Linked DNA regions of Neurospora crassa OR74A. The protein of the gene in region 1 interacts with the protein of each later gene in a biochemical or structural test. Links are inferred from orthologs where the notes say so. Each region holds a gene or a part of one and is shown in the gene's direction. Other genes may lie near its edges.

Region 1 (7,005 bases):
AGCAGCAATTACAGCCCGCCGGCGCCCGAAAGCCGTTGAACGTTGAACGTTAAACCCCCTCGAGCCTCCAAAGAGCAACACACCCACCCACCCCCCTCCCGGCTCCTCTTCCCTCCCCCCCCCGCGCCTCGCGGCACCAAAGCACGAGTCTCCACCGACCATTTGCGAATGGAGACCTAAAGTATACTATGGCCCATGCTGCTCTTCTACGAACGAACACCGCCCCTGTATTTCAAGCGTCGACCGACGGCGTCGCCAGATTGAACAACATGAGCCTGTCCAACGCCGCGCGCGCGAGCCAGCTTTCGGGCTCGACGGCCTTCAATTCCTCTACTTCGCTCAGCTCGCTCACTTCGTCCGCCACCGCCGTTACCCCCGTGAACGGCCAGGTTGTCGCCACCACAAACATCATCAACCAGAGAGCCGACGCCTCGCGATCGCTGTACCAAATATGTTTGTCGCTCAAACAACGCCTCGCCCAGGTTCCCGGCTTCGAGGGCTATCTAGAACAACTGCAGCGCGAGCAGGAGAATGGCCATGATGGCCCCGTCGAGGCCCTCTGGAAGCTCCTTCGCACCGGTCTGCCCCTGCTCACCATCTACAATGCGCTCCAACCCGAGAAACCGCTACACGTCGATCAGAGGCCGAACGAGACGGAAGCGCGACGGTCCAAACGCGCCATTATGGAATTCGTCAAGGCCTGCTTGAGCGACCTCGACCCTCCCGTTACCGAATGCTTTATCGTCGCCGACCTTACAGGGGAGGATACCACCGGCTTTGTCAAGGTGAGCGAATCTTATGGCGCCCCCTTTTTACCTGCACACTTGATGGAACAGTATATGCTGACGAGAGCACATGTTCGGAAAACCAGGTGACTTCTGTTATCAACTATGTGCTCGATCTTGCCGAAAAACGGGGCCTCTTGCTCCAAACCCTGCCATACCCCGAAGATGATATCACGCAGCCGGGTTCTAAGATGACCCATCGCGATTACATTGTTCGAGAACTGGTAGACACGGAGCGCAAATACGTACAGGATCTCGAGAACCTCCACGACCTGAAGAGGACGCTGGAACACAGGAGCGTTATCCCTGGCGAATTCATCCACGACATATTCCTTAATATCAACGCCATCTTGGATCATCAACGAAAGTTCCTCATCAGGGTAGAAACAACAAATTCGATGCCGCAGGCTAGGCAGGAATGGGGAAGCTTGTTCGTCACAGCTGAAGAGAACTTTGGCATTTACCAACCCTTTATCGCGAACCAAAGAAAGGCGGCCCAGGTTGCGACGCAAGTGTTTGACAAGATCCAAGAGGCTGGCCATCCGGTCGCGTGTGATTTTAATACCCTTGATGGTTTCCTCCTCAAGCCTATGCAGAGACTGGTCAAGTACCCGCTTTTGCTCAAGGTATGGATACTGCGTCCTTTTGATGGTACTAATGCGCATACTAATTGGCTTGTTCTCAAAGGATTTGCTGAAGAAGAGCGAGGACGAGCACACCAAGGAGGATTTAGCTGCCGGCATCGCTGCTGCTGAACGGGTCTTGATGAAAGCCAATTCGGCCGTTGATAAGAACATCCTCGAAGAGGCCTTGCAGGACCTTATACACCGAGTAGACGACTGGAAGAGCCATAAGGTGGACAACTTTGGAAGTCTGCTCCTACACGGAGTATACACTGTTATAACGGGCAAGAGTGAACAAGAGAAGGACGTACGTATCTCCCCCCTGGCGCATGCGTTCCTCCTTTTGCTGGTATAAGACGAGCTGATAATGGACCGCTAACCTTCCTCAGCAGTATGAGATCTATCTTTTTGAGAATATCTTGCTCTGTTGCAAGGAACTCACTACGACTAAAGCCAAGGACAAGAAGGACAAGACTCGATCATCCGTACCAAAGTTGCGGAACAAGTTCGCCAAACTACAACTTAAGGGCCGCATCTTCATGACCAATGTCACCGATGTAGTAGCCATTTCCAAGCCTGGTAAGCGACACAGTTGGAATTCTCGGCGGAACACAACAGTTGCTGACTGTGCAGGTTCGTATACCGTACAAATATGGTGGAAGGGCGATCCGGGCGTGGAGAATTTCATGATCAAATTCCAGACCGAAGAGATGATGAAGAAGTGGGCCGCCGGTCTGGAAGAACAGCGAAAGCAGAACACGCAAGCGGCCCCAGTTGCTCCTGATCAAGCTCCGCCAAACTTTGCCTGGCTCGCCTCGCAAGGCAACGGACTGGAGAATCCCTACAAGGACGAAGAAGAGGACGAGGACATCTATAATGCTGCTGCCCCGACCGTTGCCATGCCAGGCACAATGCCGCGGAATGGATCGAGCACAAGTCTACGGCAGCGGTCCGCCACCAGCGACAGTCTAGCAGGTATGGCTCGCGCACCACCTCCACGATTCCCTCTTCCACAGGCACCTGCGCCTCTCAATGTTGGCCTTCAGCCATCACCCGCTGTTCGAGCAGGCGAGTCTTACTTCTCTCCCGTAGCCGAGTCGCCCGCTTCGAGTCGGACGAGCACAGCGAGCGGCATCTTCGCCGGTGCCGGATCCGGCTATCCTTTCCCCAAGACCGGTACCCCCCAAGGATGGCAGGAGGATAGCAACCGCTACACGGCCCCTGCCATGCCAAGGGCGCCATCGCGAGACGGCCCATCTCCAGGAACCGGGAGGAACCCACGAGGACCCTCGATGCCCGTTATGCCCCGGGGGGATAACAGCCAGTTTCAGCAGGCACGCAGTCGGAGTTATAGTACACCGGACATTGCTGGCCAGGCCGCTGCGCGCATCAACCAGACAGGGGTACCTGCGGTGCCAGGCATTCCCGCCCATCTAACCCATGCCCGCCATGATTCCAACATTCCCAGGAGCAATACCGGCAGTCCAGCAAACGACCTTCCTCTACGGACCCAGACAGGTTCCCCTGGCAGAGAGCGGAAGAACTATGGAGGCCAATTGAATCAGTTCCCTCCACAGCCTATCCGCCAGGGAACACCAGGCAGTGTCACCGGCTTCCCTCCGCCATCTGGCCCGCCCCCACCGGGCATGGCGCCTCTTGCCCCGACTGAGGGAACGCGAAACATCACCCCATCGCTCGGTACCGCACCGATCATGTCCGGACAGAACCCGCTCTCACCCACAGATGACGACATGCTCCCCACGCAACTGAAGGTCAAGGTTCACTGCGATACCGGTAACTACATCACATTGGTTGTGCTCTACGACATTACTTACGAGAAACTGATTGACCGCATCGACAATAAACTTTCGCGGTTTACCAGTAGCAGTATCGGCGGGGGTAATTTGAGGTTACGGTACCGGGATGAGGATGGCGACTTCGTCATGATCGAGAGCGACGATGATATTCAAATCGCCATTTCGGATTGGCGTGAGGGGCTTCGCAACCCAGATAGCGCCGGGGAAATTGACCTGTACTGCGAAGGGGAACTGTTGGAGTGAGCAGGGCATCAAAGTGGCATTGTGTGCTCACAGAAAATTCCGAACACACCCGCTTGCGTCGGTCTTCTCATTTCTTTTTTTTTTTTTTTGGAATAAACTTGGACAGCACCATATTGTAAAAAAAAAAGGCAGCAGCAACAACCTGTCTTTCATCCCTCTCACGTCCGTCACATTCTGTCACTTTTATCACTGTCCCTCATCTGTTCGGCAACTCAATTCGACAAACAACTCATTTCTCTTCTCGGTTTTTGGGTACCATCTTTCACTTATCATCTTGTCTTGGGACAGAAACTCGGCAACAAGGATTGGCATGCATGGATTCTCCAAACATACAGACAAAGGCGGACCCGCATAATCACCATCATCATCATCGTACGGTTCTTCTTCTAAGAAACGACTCATCACAGACATCTATACACACACACCATTTCCTTTAGTTGTCATCTCTTATCTCACTCACTCACTCTCTCTCTCTCTCTAAAGAGTACACACGCACGCGCACACCAAGAATCATTTTTTTTATCGGTGTCGGCTATAGACACGGGCATTTTCTTGGATTTTCCTTTGTCATCATCATCATCATCATCATCATCATCATCATCATCACGGGTCAAGCTCCCTTCCCTCTTTCATTTGTCTTGTTTCCCCATCATTGTTTTCTCATCATTTCTGCGTAGTGAAGGACTATTTGCTGTCTTATACCTTGTCGGTCTTTGAGTATCGGTCTTTGTCGAGTCGGGTTTGTCAGGACGGGTTAGAATGTGATGGATGCCAGGGGATGAGATGAGCAACGGTTTCCTTGCTTCCGTCTTGTCTCTGTTCGGTTTGGTTTCAACGGGAACAACACACGGATGAATGAGAGTTGGAGTGAGTTCTCTGCTGGAAATCAAAGAGAAGTCAAGGCGGCTGTCCAAACAGTGGTTGCTTGGACGCAAGCGGGACGGGTCCGGTAATTTTGGTGGTTTCCCATGGTCAAGAGGGGGAAGCATGGAGCAAGAAGGAGGACGCGAGCGGGCCGAGAGTGAAAATAGATGGACGGAATGGAGGAAGAAGGAAAAGAAGGGAGGAGGAAGGGGTTGACGGTCAGTGAAGTTGTTGTCTTTTTTTTTTCTTTTTTTTTTTTTTGGTTGATCTTTATAGTCAGATATGAATACCCAATTGCGCATTTTTGTTGTTTGTTTGTCTGTTAGTTATTCCAGTCTTTTATAGAGTCTAGAGCAGAGCAGAGGAGAGAGTAAACTTAGGTTAGGTGCTTTATAACGGTTAATGTGAAGAGTAAGCAACTGCTTGAACATTAACGTGTACGTTCGTGAACATGATTCGTGGGATGATCCAGTAGTTTGTTCAATAAATCAACCACTAAAGAGTGGATTTTGTCTGCAAACAGATCCAAATATCCTAGTTCACTGGTGTACACTATTGCCGTTCCAGACAAAAACCTCTTGATCGAAAGACATTGGCCACGATCTTCTCTCGAAGCCACCCTTGTCGGAACATTGCATTCAAAGAATCATCCCCATTGTTGAATTTCTAAACAGCCCCTTTTAGTCAAGTATGATGCTTTGGCTGGGTACTGGAGGCAAATTTGATGATCAGGATCCTTTTTACCGTTTCAAATGGACTCATCGGTCCGTGATGTTCCCGCCAAGGAGGGATAAACGCAGTGTGATAATCATTTTTGTGAACTACCATGGCGGCAATTTATGAACTTATAGTATATGATGTATGTAAGTTGTATTGTTACAATGCCTCTAAGGAAAAAAAAAAGAAAAAATTCAAATATATACTAAAACGCCCGGATAAGCATAAGCCTCACTTAGTTCTCCCAAATGCTTTTTTTCCTTTGAATATTGCCACAATATTGTACAGCAGCAAGCAAGCAACCCTCAACGGCTGGCCATCCAGATATCCGAACTGACTTGTGAAAGACGCCAGCAGCACATCGTACGTAGGCCATGCCAGCTCATGTCTTGGTGTGCATATGCTTCCGCTCTCCTCCTCCTCTCCCATCTCTATCTCTTGCTTTCCTTCCATTTTGGGGGGGTATCACACCAGGGCGCGAACTGGTCTTGCCTCGTAATTTTTGTTTCGAAACCACTTAATCCTCTTTCAATTGTTTCCCACGCAGTAACTTTTCCCACGACAACTCTTCTTCTAACATCCTCCCAACTCCTCCCGCCTCCTCCATCCAATGGCGTTGGCGTCGCAGGGATATCAACATGGTTGTAGTAGTTCTTTGAGAGGAGGGAGGGGGAGGGGAAGGGGCGTGGGAATTATGATCGGTCTTGAATGGATCCCCAAATTATGTATAAGGTTGAGTGTGTCGTTTGTCTTTTTTTCTTCTCTCGTCTTTCCTATCGTCCTTGTCCTCGTCCTCGTCGTCGTTGTCGTCATCGTTGTCGTCGTCGGGACACAGCACAGAGTCGTACACGCCCGTCGTCGCTTATTTCTTGGACTTGCCCTGAGTGAGTCTCTCCTGGAAGCGAGACAAGTGGTAGTTGATGGTGTTGTTGGGCTTGGGCGCAGGCTTGGGCGCGTCCATGCACGCGCGCAGGGCGTTCTCGACCGTGGCGCAACCGGCCGAGTTGTAACCGGCGGAAGCCCAGCAAGCTGTTTTTTTTTTCAAGGCGCAATTAGTTGGCTTTCTTTTCCTCTTTTGCGCTTCGCTTTGCTTGATTGGCGGACTAGGAGTGTTACGGAAGAAAGGAAGAAAGGAAGGAAGGAGAGAAGGCTCAATGCGTACCGAGAACCGAGGACATGACGGCGATGCAAGGGTTCTCCTCGGCCTTGTTGGCCTGGCGAACGCGCAGCTGCTTCAGCGGCGGCAGACGGATGGGCTTGTTGGGCATTTTGACAGCGTTGTGTTGTCGGTTTCTGTCGGAGAAGATCGGAGAAGACGGGAGGAGGGGGAAGGGGGGGCCGGGGGACAATCGGGGTCACGGTCGGAGGTGTCCGTTACGGTGCTCGAATAAAACCGGGGGGATTTCCACTTCCGTGTTCCGGACCTGTCTGGAGCTCTACTCTCACTGCGATCAGATGGGTGCCGTGTGCGCCGGCCGGCTTTCCGTTCGCTGCGCAGGGTCCCCGCTGTGGAATGAAAGATTTGGGGATCACGTGAAGATAAGGCGGGTGCAGTGACAGAGCGACATCAGGCAGGCAGGCAACGCAGTCGAGGTACTTGGTGCATGTACCTACCTCAAATTTGGGCCCGCGTGGGGTAGAAAGCAGGTGGAGCGTGGCTTCTTGGCATAGCGATAGTAGCTCCAGATTTGGTGCAAGATGATTGGCGGATTGCTCGGCATGTAAACAGAAACAGACTTTGGAGGGTTTGTCACTCAACAAGTCACACCTTCCCGTGTCTTCGCGATTTGTTGCTTTTTGAAGGTTCCCCCCCCGAAAAACACATGCGACACCTTCTTCCTTCCCACGTCCTTTTCGGTACTCACGACGACTCATGACGGATACCCATTGCATTGTTGGCAAAGCATAACTTTCGGCGCGTATTTGCTTGCTGTTTCCGCAACACAGTTTATCTGT
Region 2 (8,076 bases), on another chromosome or scaffold:
CAACCTAATTGACCTCAAACGTGGTTGAGGCGTGCAGTATTCGAATCTGCCTACTCTACTCAAAAATGGAGACGTAATATCCACCGTTTTCGGAACCCATTCTCGGTGGACAGGATGATAGATGGCGTCTTCGCACATCGACCCCCTTCTTTCCCGATCAATGTGTCTTGCCGGAGGATCTCGACGTGTCGGCTCACGGGGTCTCTTGTTTTAGCAAGCATTAGGGTCATGCGGAGGTGACCTTTGGCGACGTGGAAGCAGCAGCATTAGTTGCTATGGTGCTGTAGTGGCACCCTGCTCTCCTTCTATGCGTCCTTACAGGCACCGCTCTCTTATTCAACAATTTTTCAGTATCCCTTGCGTTCCGGTGTCGGCATCTTTGGGTGGTGGTTTGGGTCAGCGAGCATAGGGTTTTGGCGTCTCGGGGTGTCAAAACTGCTTGCATTTGTCCCTTGTCTTTTTTTCTTTGTTCCTTCTTCATGCTAGTACAGGTAACTCAGGTGTTTGGCGTTAAGGGAACAATGCTAAGAGCAGGGAGGTTGAGTGGGCATGTCTTACAGTTAGCAAAATAAGAACGTACTTAGTGAGCTCCAGCACACAACACAGTCATATTGTGCGCCGTCGATATCGATGCCATCCTTGTTGTCTTTTGAGTCAGAGTACGGGGAGCCGGAGGCCAACACAATCGGCCGCGCATCATAATCAATGGTGGAAAAGGGTCGGGTCCTTCGACTTCTGCCCGCATTGCAAGCAGATGTGACGAACCTCCATGCTACGCGTTTGCTTCTTGATGCAGTTGCTAACTTAACCTTGGGTCGAATTGAAGCGGTGGCTGGTGAGGCGAAAGATAGACACCATACCATGTGGAAAAAGGAAAAATACCACGCTGCCTCATTGCTTACAGGTGCGCCAGCGGGCATCCCGGCCCGTCGTGTGCTCCTCGCGTCACATCCCGATTGGTCAAACCTCGTGCATGTACGTAGAAGTCGTGCATCGATAAATGGAAAGAGGGTTGAAACCATTGCCATGGAAAACATGGCAATTGGCGGCTTTTCTTGGGCGTTGTTCATGTCCAATAGAGAGGGTGAAGATGTTGAGTATTCGAAGGACGTCCGTCCACTTGCACTATTCTCGTGTTTATGATTCCCTCTAGGAGCTCGCATATTATTGTTGTGGCCAGAATGAGATGAACATGATACAAAGGCCGAACAGAAACCCCGAAATGACAAAAAGTGAGATTTGTTAAGCAAAAGAATAAGAAAAGAAAGAAAAAACTGGATCGGTTAATGCCCAGATTCCAAAATCGGGAGCTTTGCGGCAGAGCCCTACCAGGCCGTTACAGTGCTGTCTCTATCGAGTCTAGACGCCAATGCTCCTTGTTCGCTGTTGGGTTGGGTTGTTCTGATTAGTCAGGCACAGGCCGCGGAGCTTCATCCGAAATACCCCGAGACCGAGAACCGATATCTACCTAAAATTTGATCGCGATGCTTTTTGCTGCACCAATGAAGGAGATTCGGACTGTGTAGAATGAATCTGCCAAACATAGGTAGATCTGAAAATCCCGAGCTAAGTCGCCATCAGAAGGACATATGTCAGCGTCAATCCAGTGATGCTAGTACTAGGCTTTTTCCTACTAGGGGTTGCTTGTGAACCGTCTTGGAGGCCTTGCATTCTATCGAGTCCCCTTCGGCTTTCAAGTCCACCGACGTTATGATGGAGCCCGATGTCAATGCATTGACAAGGTGTGGGCTTTGAACATCTCATGACGCATCGTATGAGTTGATGCACTAACAGCAGGCATATTCCTGCCTCACAGCATCGACTTGTTGTCGACGACGACGCCTTTCAAGTCACTTGGATGGGTAGTGACGGAACAGACTCGAGAATGAAGCAATCAATCCTTCAGTTGAGGTTGGAGAAGTGAGAAAAAATCCTCAGGTACCGTGTCCATAACACCCTGGTTGTCGACTCGACTCAGCAAACCAACCACAGTTTCCGCTATGACAAGCGCGATCACGATGCATATGCAGTGGCTTCAAAGATATGTACAATATCATGCACACTAGCACGCACACATATCTTAGGCCAGGCAATGACAGCGACAAAGATACCAACGGAGAATACCTGAGGGAGCAGCAATCTTAGCTTTTCAATGGCCTCATTGCGCGCGGCTCATCTTTGATCAGATCGTGTAAGACTAGCAAGCTGGTTGGTTTCAGTTGAGATTTGACGTTGGCCGACTTCTTTCATTCGTTTGTCGCAAAGTTCCTGGTCGTATCGCGGTGGGCACGTCCGGAATCCCAAAGATCGAGAGCGGCCAAGAAACAGTGGAGGTACCTAAGAACGAAAGCCAATTCGAATCCACCACAGCCAGGTCCAGGGAGGGTGGGTCCCTCTGGACGTGAGAACCCTGGCGGCGCTCTCCAATTGCACCAACATGCAGGGCAGCAACTGCGCCAATCAACCAGGCCGGGGTGCCTTCAGGTACCTGCCCGCGCGGCCTCTGCGCTGCTGCAACGCTACAATTCCCCTCTTAAGTCGAGGTCCTTGGCCGTCCATTGTCATGCCGATTGTCATGCGGATGCTAACGGCTAGATAGAGGCAGCCACCCTTTCACGGTCAGGACACGGACATAAACTAGCAGACACTAACAGACACTAGGCGAATAAGCAAGCCTGAGTGGCTGTTTTTCCAACATGTTCCATGCCGTCCGTCTCGGCTAGGCTGGTGACTTGCTTGTGACCTTCATCACACCTACCCGCCCGTCTTCGAGCCATCTCCGGCCACCACCTCCACACCCTGTCGGCTTCCACTCTGCGAGAACACACCTGGACCCGACCCTTGGTGATCACCCTTGCTGCTTCCGTTGCAAGCTTGGCTTTGGGCTGTTGCTATCTCCCTTTTTATTATTTTTTTAATGCTATTGCTGCCCGTCCCGAGGACTAGCACGCAAGGCACGCAGGCCATATATCCCACCTGATCCTGATCCTTCCCCGCCACCGTGCAGTTTCCAGTTTCCATTCCCACCTGCCCGTTCGCTCGCTTCGTTCACTCATCACCAGTTCCAACTCTCGACAACCAACCTTCCTACTGCGACAGTCAAGTCCATCATCGCCGACAACACTCGTCGCAACACCCAACGCAACTCCCGGCGGATTGTCCACCACTACTTAGACATTCTAGAAGCGCTCGCCGGACTGGGACTTGCGCATTGAGCATTGGGTCTAGGCAGTCGGCATTGCGGCTGAACAAAGGAACAAGAGAATTGCATCAACACCACACGCCCACACGCCAGGCGGCCCTGATCAGGCTCAGACAAAGACGGAAAGCCAAGATTGAGGCAAACTCGGCCAGACAGCGAACTTGGGGTCAGCTATCCACTTGGGGAACAGAAGTATTGGGGCGCGACCATTTTACACGAAACGGTCGCCGAAATTAGCTGGACAACCGCTGCTTTCCAAATTACGTCTCCCTTACGTTCGCACGGTCGCAAACACTAGTGCAGCAGATAACGACCCCGTCCGCGATATCCACTCCCGTCATCGCCGCGCTGCTTTCCCGGCTCCCATCCGACCGATACATACGGCACATTTGGATCGTTACACAGATTCCACCTAGCAACACCCTCCACGACACACACACACACACACCACACACACGAGCAGAACCGCCCAGGACCAACCCCAGAGGGATCCTAGGCAAGCCCTCTCGCCGTCCGTCATTTGAGTCGGCGTAACCCCAACCACGATTGCCCGCGCACGCCGACACCAGGACGCCCGCTCCAAAAGTTGTTTGCTGACGCCTCTCACCCCGTCAGCCGTTCCTGTTTCTCTCTGTGTATAGCACAATAGTTCCGGTTTTGGTTTGTGTACACATAGCTTACAAGTCGTCTGAGTATCGCTGTCGGACAAGATGAAGGTACGTCATTCCCCGCTGTTCTGTGCTCTGCCATCCCCTCTCTCTTCCCTTCCCCGTCCCTCCTCCTCTTCAGTCCGATCGTTTTTGCTCGTTCCCCAGGAAACAGCCCTCGTGATTGTATAGCAGAGGCTTCACTGCTATTGGGGACATGAGAGATAGGATCGGGCTACGGCTCAGGTATTCATACACCATCACATAGGCGTTCTTGCCTTGGCCAATTCGTCACGATGCAATACAGCTTGCGTGAACCGGAAGAATCCTTTTTCTTAGTGTCTGCTCCATCTACACCCACAGCACCTCTCGAATTTTCTTGGCCTCGTCGGACTACTCATTTCAATACTGCGGTTTCGTCGTTCTGGCAACTAACAATGTCACGCGGTTTTAAGGCTCTACGAAGGTCCATCAAGGGTGGAGAGAAGGACTCCAAACCTCATATTACTATTCAACCGAAATCTGCCGTCGCCATCGTCCCTCCAAAGAAGGTATGTCTCGTAACAAGGTGTCAGCCACAAGGCGCTTAGGCTAAACTTGTTATCACAGGTTATAAAAGCTCTCTACGATTACGAAGCACAAAATGCACAGGAGCTTAGCTTTTCACGCGGCGATTTCTTCCATGTCATCGGTCGTGAAAATGACCCAGAGTGGTATGAGGCGTGCAACCCTGCGCTACCAGACGCTCGTGGTCTCGTGCCCGTCGCTTATTTCCAGGCCCTTGGACGTACGGAACGCGATAGCGGCCAGTCTCAAACCGGTTCACTGGGTTTGAAGACCGTAGATAGTGATTCTGGATACGGCGAAGGCTCGGCGGCCTCGCCTCCTGGAGCAAACGCCGCGAATCGGATGTCGAAAACGCCTGGCAAGAATGGAGCCATGGTTTATGGTGTCGTTTTGTACGATTTCCAAGCCGAACGGGCAGACGAATTGGAAGCCAAGCAGGGCGAGGCCATCATTGTCATTGCCCAGTCGAACCCCGAATGGTTCGTGGCTAAGCCCATCGGAAGACTTGGCGGCCCGGGTCTGATTCCCGTATCCTTTGTTGAGATCCGGGACATGGCGAGTAACACCCCTGTCCCGAACCCCCATGATGCCATACGAAAAGCTGGGATTCCAAAGGTCGAGGAGTGGAAGAAGATGGCTGCGGAATATAAGAACTCGAGCATAACGCTCGGCAAGTTCGATGTTGGTGGTGGCGGTGGTGGCCAACCACCACTTGACCAGGCCATGAACCGCTTAACTTTGCAAGGAAGCGCCCGGTTGAGCCAGCAGACTACTCATACCCAGGTACGTGTATTCTGTCCACTTACTTTGCGTGCGTGTTTGTACTAACAGGTCTTTGCAGCAACAGATACAGGCTCAAGGACAATCCTATTCGAGGCCAACCTCGACACTATACGCACCCATCGCAGCCAGGGTTCCGAGGTACTGCTTTGCCGAGGACAAGTACTGGTTTGTTATTGAAGCCGAACTGGAGGATGGTCGATGCTTCGAACTTTCGCGATACTACGAGGATTTCTACGACTTCCAAATCGCGCTCCTAACCGAGTTCCCTCTTGAAGCTGGAACTACAGGCGGCAAGCAGCGGACGCTACCCTACATGCCCGGTCCTGTTAATTACGTGACTGATGCGATTACGGAAGGCCGCCGCCACAACCTTGACTCTTACGTTAAAAGTCTACTGGAACAACCGCCACACATCTCCCGCTGTAACCTGGTCAAGCAGTTCTTTTCTCCTAGAGAGGGTGATTACGAAATCGACCCTAGCGTTGCTCGCGAGGAATACCGATTCTCTGGAGGCTCTGGTCCGTCCTCTGACTCACCAGCCGACGGCCTCTCACTACAGAGCACAGCCGGCAACAGATATTCTGCCGGTCTCGGTGTTCCTCAGAGGCAGCTGAGCATTGGCAACGGCCAACAGATTCCGGGACCTGGGCAGGCTTCACAGACCTCATTGTCACCTGCTATTATGCAGGGTGGTTCACAGATGAAAGTGAAACTGCACTTCAACGGCGACATCATCGCCATCCGCGTACCCACTGATATTCCATTCCAAGCTCTCCATGACAAGATTCTGGATCGTCTCAAGATTCCTCAGGGCGAGGACGTTCAGCTAAGTTACAAGGACGACGCGAGTGGCGAGAAGCCTCCTCTGATGAACGACGAAGATCTGGATATTGCACTGCAACGGAACGAAAAGCTGCTCGTTTACGTGGAATAATGGACTGACGGACTTTGAAACCCCAACCCATACACGTTTGTTGGCCATATTCCGATACACAGCGCATTCGGATACCATGGTCACATGCGCCATGTTTCACGAACATTTGATTCGAAGGCAGCAACTGGGTAAACTAAGCGCTCGGCCTTCAAAAGTCACGCCAGATGGCTACATACACAAGCAAGGCGAACAACGTGGAGGGAATTGCTCATTTGCGCACTCAGTTACATACCATCTTTTCTCGTTGACGGCTGCCAACAAACTGCTCTTTATCCAACACACAATGCGATATCTATACCCCACGCTATATACCCAAACGCATACGTAAATCATATAGGACTTCGCGGTTCAGTCGTTGTAATACATTTCGAATTGATCGGCTCGTCTCTCTCCACTCACTAAAATTTCTGGGACGCAGATGGTCATGGGGCATTTTGGATGCGGCAGGGACTTTGGGATACGGTGATATTTTTTTGGAACAGCTCAGGAGTCAGGCCAAAGGAGTCTGTGACCATGGTGAAAAAAAGGAAGGAAGTAGAGTCAGGGGAGGATCTGCGCGCTTGCTGGAAGGCTGCGGTGGGGCCAAGTTGGGAGATGGATTCTTGGTTAGGCGTGGGGGAGGGTGGAAGGATTAAATTTGATACCAAACTACGTTGCTACTCGAGGTCGAAGATGGGTGGTGGATTACCATAAGAAGAGGTGGTGGAGGTGGTAATGGTGGTGCTGAGGGTGATGACAAGGGACAAGAAGAAGAAGAAGGGGCCCTTGTGAATGGATGATGAATGAAATGAATTTACACCCACAGGCTTTTTGTGTTTCAGGATGTTGACCGAGATGGCGGGGGACACGGGGTATCGTTTCTGCAGTGTAGGTGAGATTTGAAGATATCCATGTGCAGTCAAGGTGTTTTTGGTAATAAAAAAATTGGGAGCGAAAGATGACCGGAGAAAAGAGAGTAGTGGTGGTCTACTCGCAGCCAGTAAGTAGCATAAATCTACATTTGAAGATATCGCGACTTCCGATAATTGCATGTGACATCTGCTATACAATGTCATTGGAAGTTGAATAAATGCACAATTACGGCAAATGCCAAGCCCATCGAAAACATACATCGCATTCTTGTTCTGGTAAAGGAAGCAATGGTAACAATGACACTTCCACAACAATCAGTCAAAGTTCGTTACATATTTACAAAGTTGGAAGTAACGAAGTCGATGCCGTTTCACACTACCAATGTAATGCTTGTAAGTCAACCAGCCCGAAGGCCAGATCTAGGAAATTCTTACTGAAAAGCATACAGAAATGCAATATACGTCCCCAACTAATAACTCCGAGGCTCACATATCACCTATGAAAAGTGAGTTGGGCGTACAACGAACCGTATACCCCTGCTCCCCTGCTAAAAAAAAAAATTGACACCTGAAACGCCAGTTGCAATCCACCAGAGTCCCAAAGTAGACATAGCGATACCTGGAATGCCAGGATAAATATGGCTGACTGACTGTTGCCCAACAAGACAGACATATTTAGTAATGAAGCAAACAAAACGAGAAAAAAATGAAATGAAAAGAAGGGAAGAAAGAAAAACAAGAAAGGAAAAACCGGGGAACGGGGAAGAAACTCTAAACTAAACCCATTACAAGAAAAAAAAATGGAAGAATAAACACGCCTCGGTATCGGGAGCGAGGCAGGCATAACGCCAGTTCCAAGCAAGGGTCCCCATCTCAGTCACATCTTCCCTCAAACTACAACATGAGTACTCATATGCTCGACCGCCTCCTTGATAGTCCTCAACATCCTCTGATTCACACAAAACGGGCATCTGACCGGCCGATCCGTCAGAGACACGGGTCCTCCACTCGGAATCGGCGTCAGCGTCAGCGGGTCCTCTACCCCCGTAGCACCGGGCACGAACCTCGCCCCTGTAGTAGTTCCATTGGCAC

Evidence for each region. The genes of interacting proteins can lie anywhere in the genome.
Region 2: the proteins of cdc24 (region 1) and NCU06593 form a complex in vitro, tested with the Schizosaccharomyces pombe proteins (2 studies listed by BioGRID, with this or other methods). The link is inferred for Neurospora crassa OR74A from reciprocal best matches to the Schizosaccharomyces pombe genes scd1 and scd2.

The regions. Positions count from the first base shown.
Region 1 is NC_026507.1:1,920,000-1,927,004, forward strand, and holds the end of cdc24 (rho guanyl nucleotide exchange factor), read left to right. Parts: 5' UTR 1-188; coding exon 189-785; intron 786-871; coding exon 872-1,411; intron 1,412-1,472; coding exon 1,473-1,715; intron 1,716-1,800; coding exon 1,801-1,987; intron 1,988-2,041; coding exon 2,042-3,468; 3' UTR 3,469-4,713; downstream 4,714-7,005. Other genes in the region: NCU06066 (mitochondrial 37S ribosomal protein YmS-T), read right to left, coding at 5,912-6,078, 6,212-6,317. UniProt on the Schizosaccharomyces pombe protein: Required for mating and morphogenesis. May contain a cryptic binding site for cdc42 that is enhanced by binding Ras. Interacts directly with scd2. Promotes the exchange of cdc42-bound GDP by GTP.
Region 2 is NC_026504.1:1,739,894-1,747,969, reverse strand, and holds NCU06593 (MAP kinase activator), read left to right. Parts: upstream 1-2,679; 5' UTR 2,680-3,912; coding exon 3,913-3,918; intron 3,919-4,304; coding exon 4,305-4,400; intron 4,401-4,458; coding exon 4,459-5,199; intron 5,200-5,257; coding exon 5,258-6,133; 3' UTR 6,134-7,138; downstream 7,139-8,076. Other genes in the region: NCU06592 (hypothetical protein), read right to left, coding at 7,874-8,076. UniProt on the Schizosaccharomyces pombe protein: Required for mating and morphogenesis. Interacts directly with scd1 and with cdc42. May bridge and facilitate scd1 and cdc42 interactions.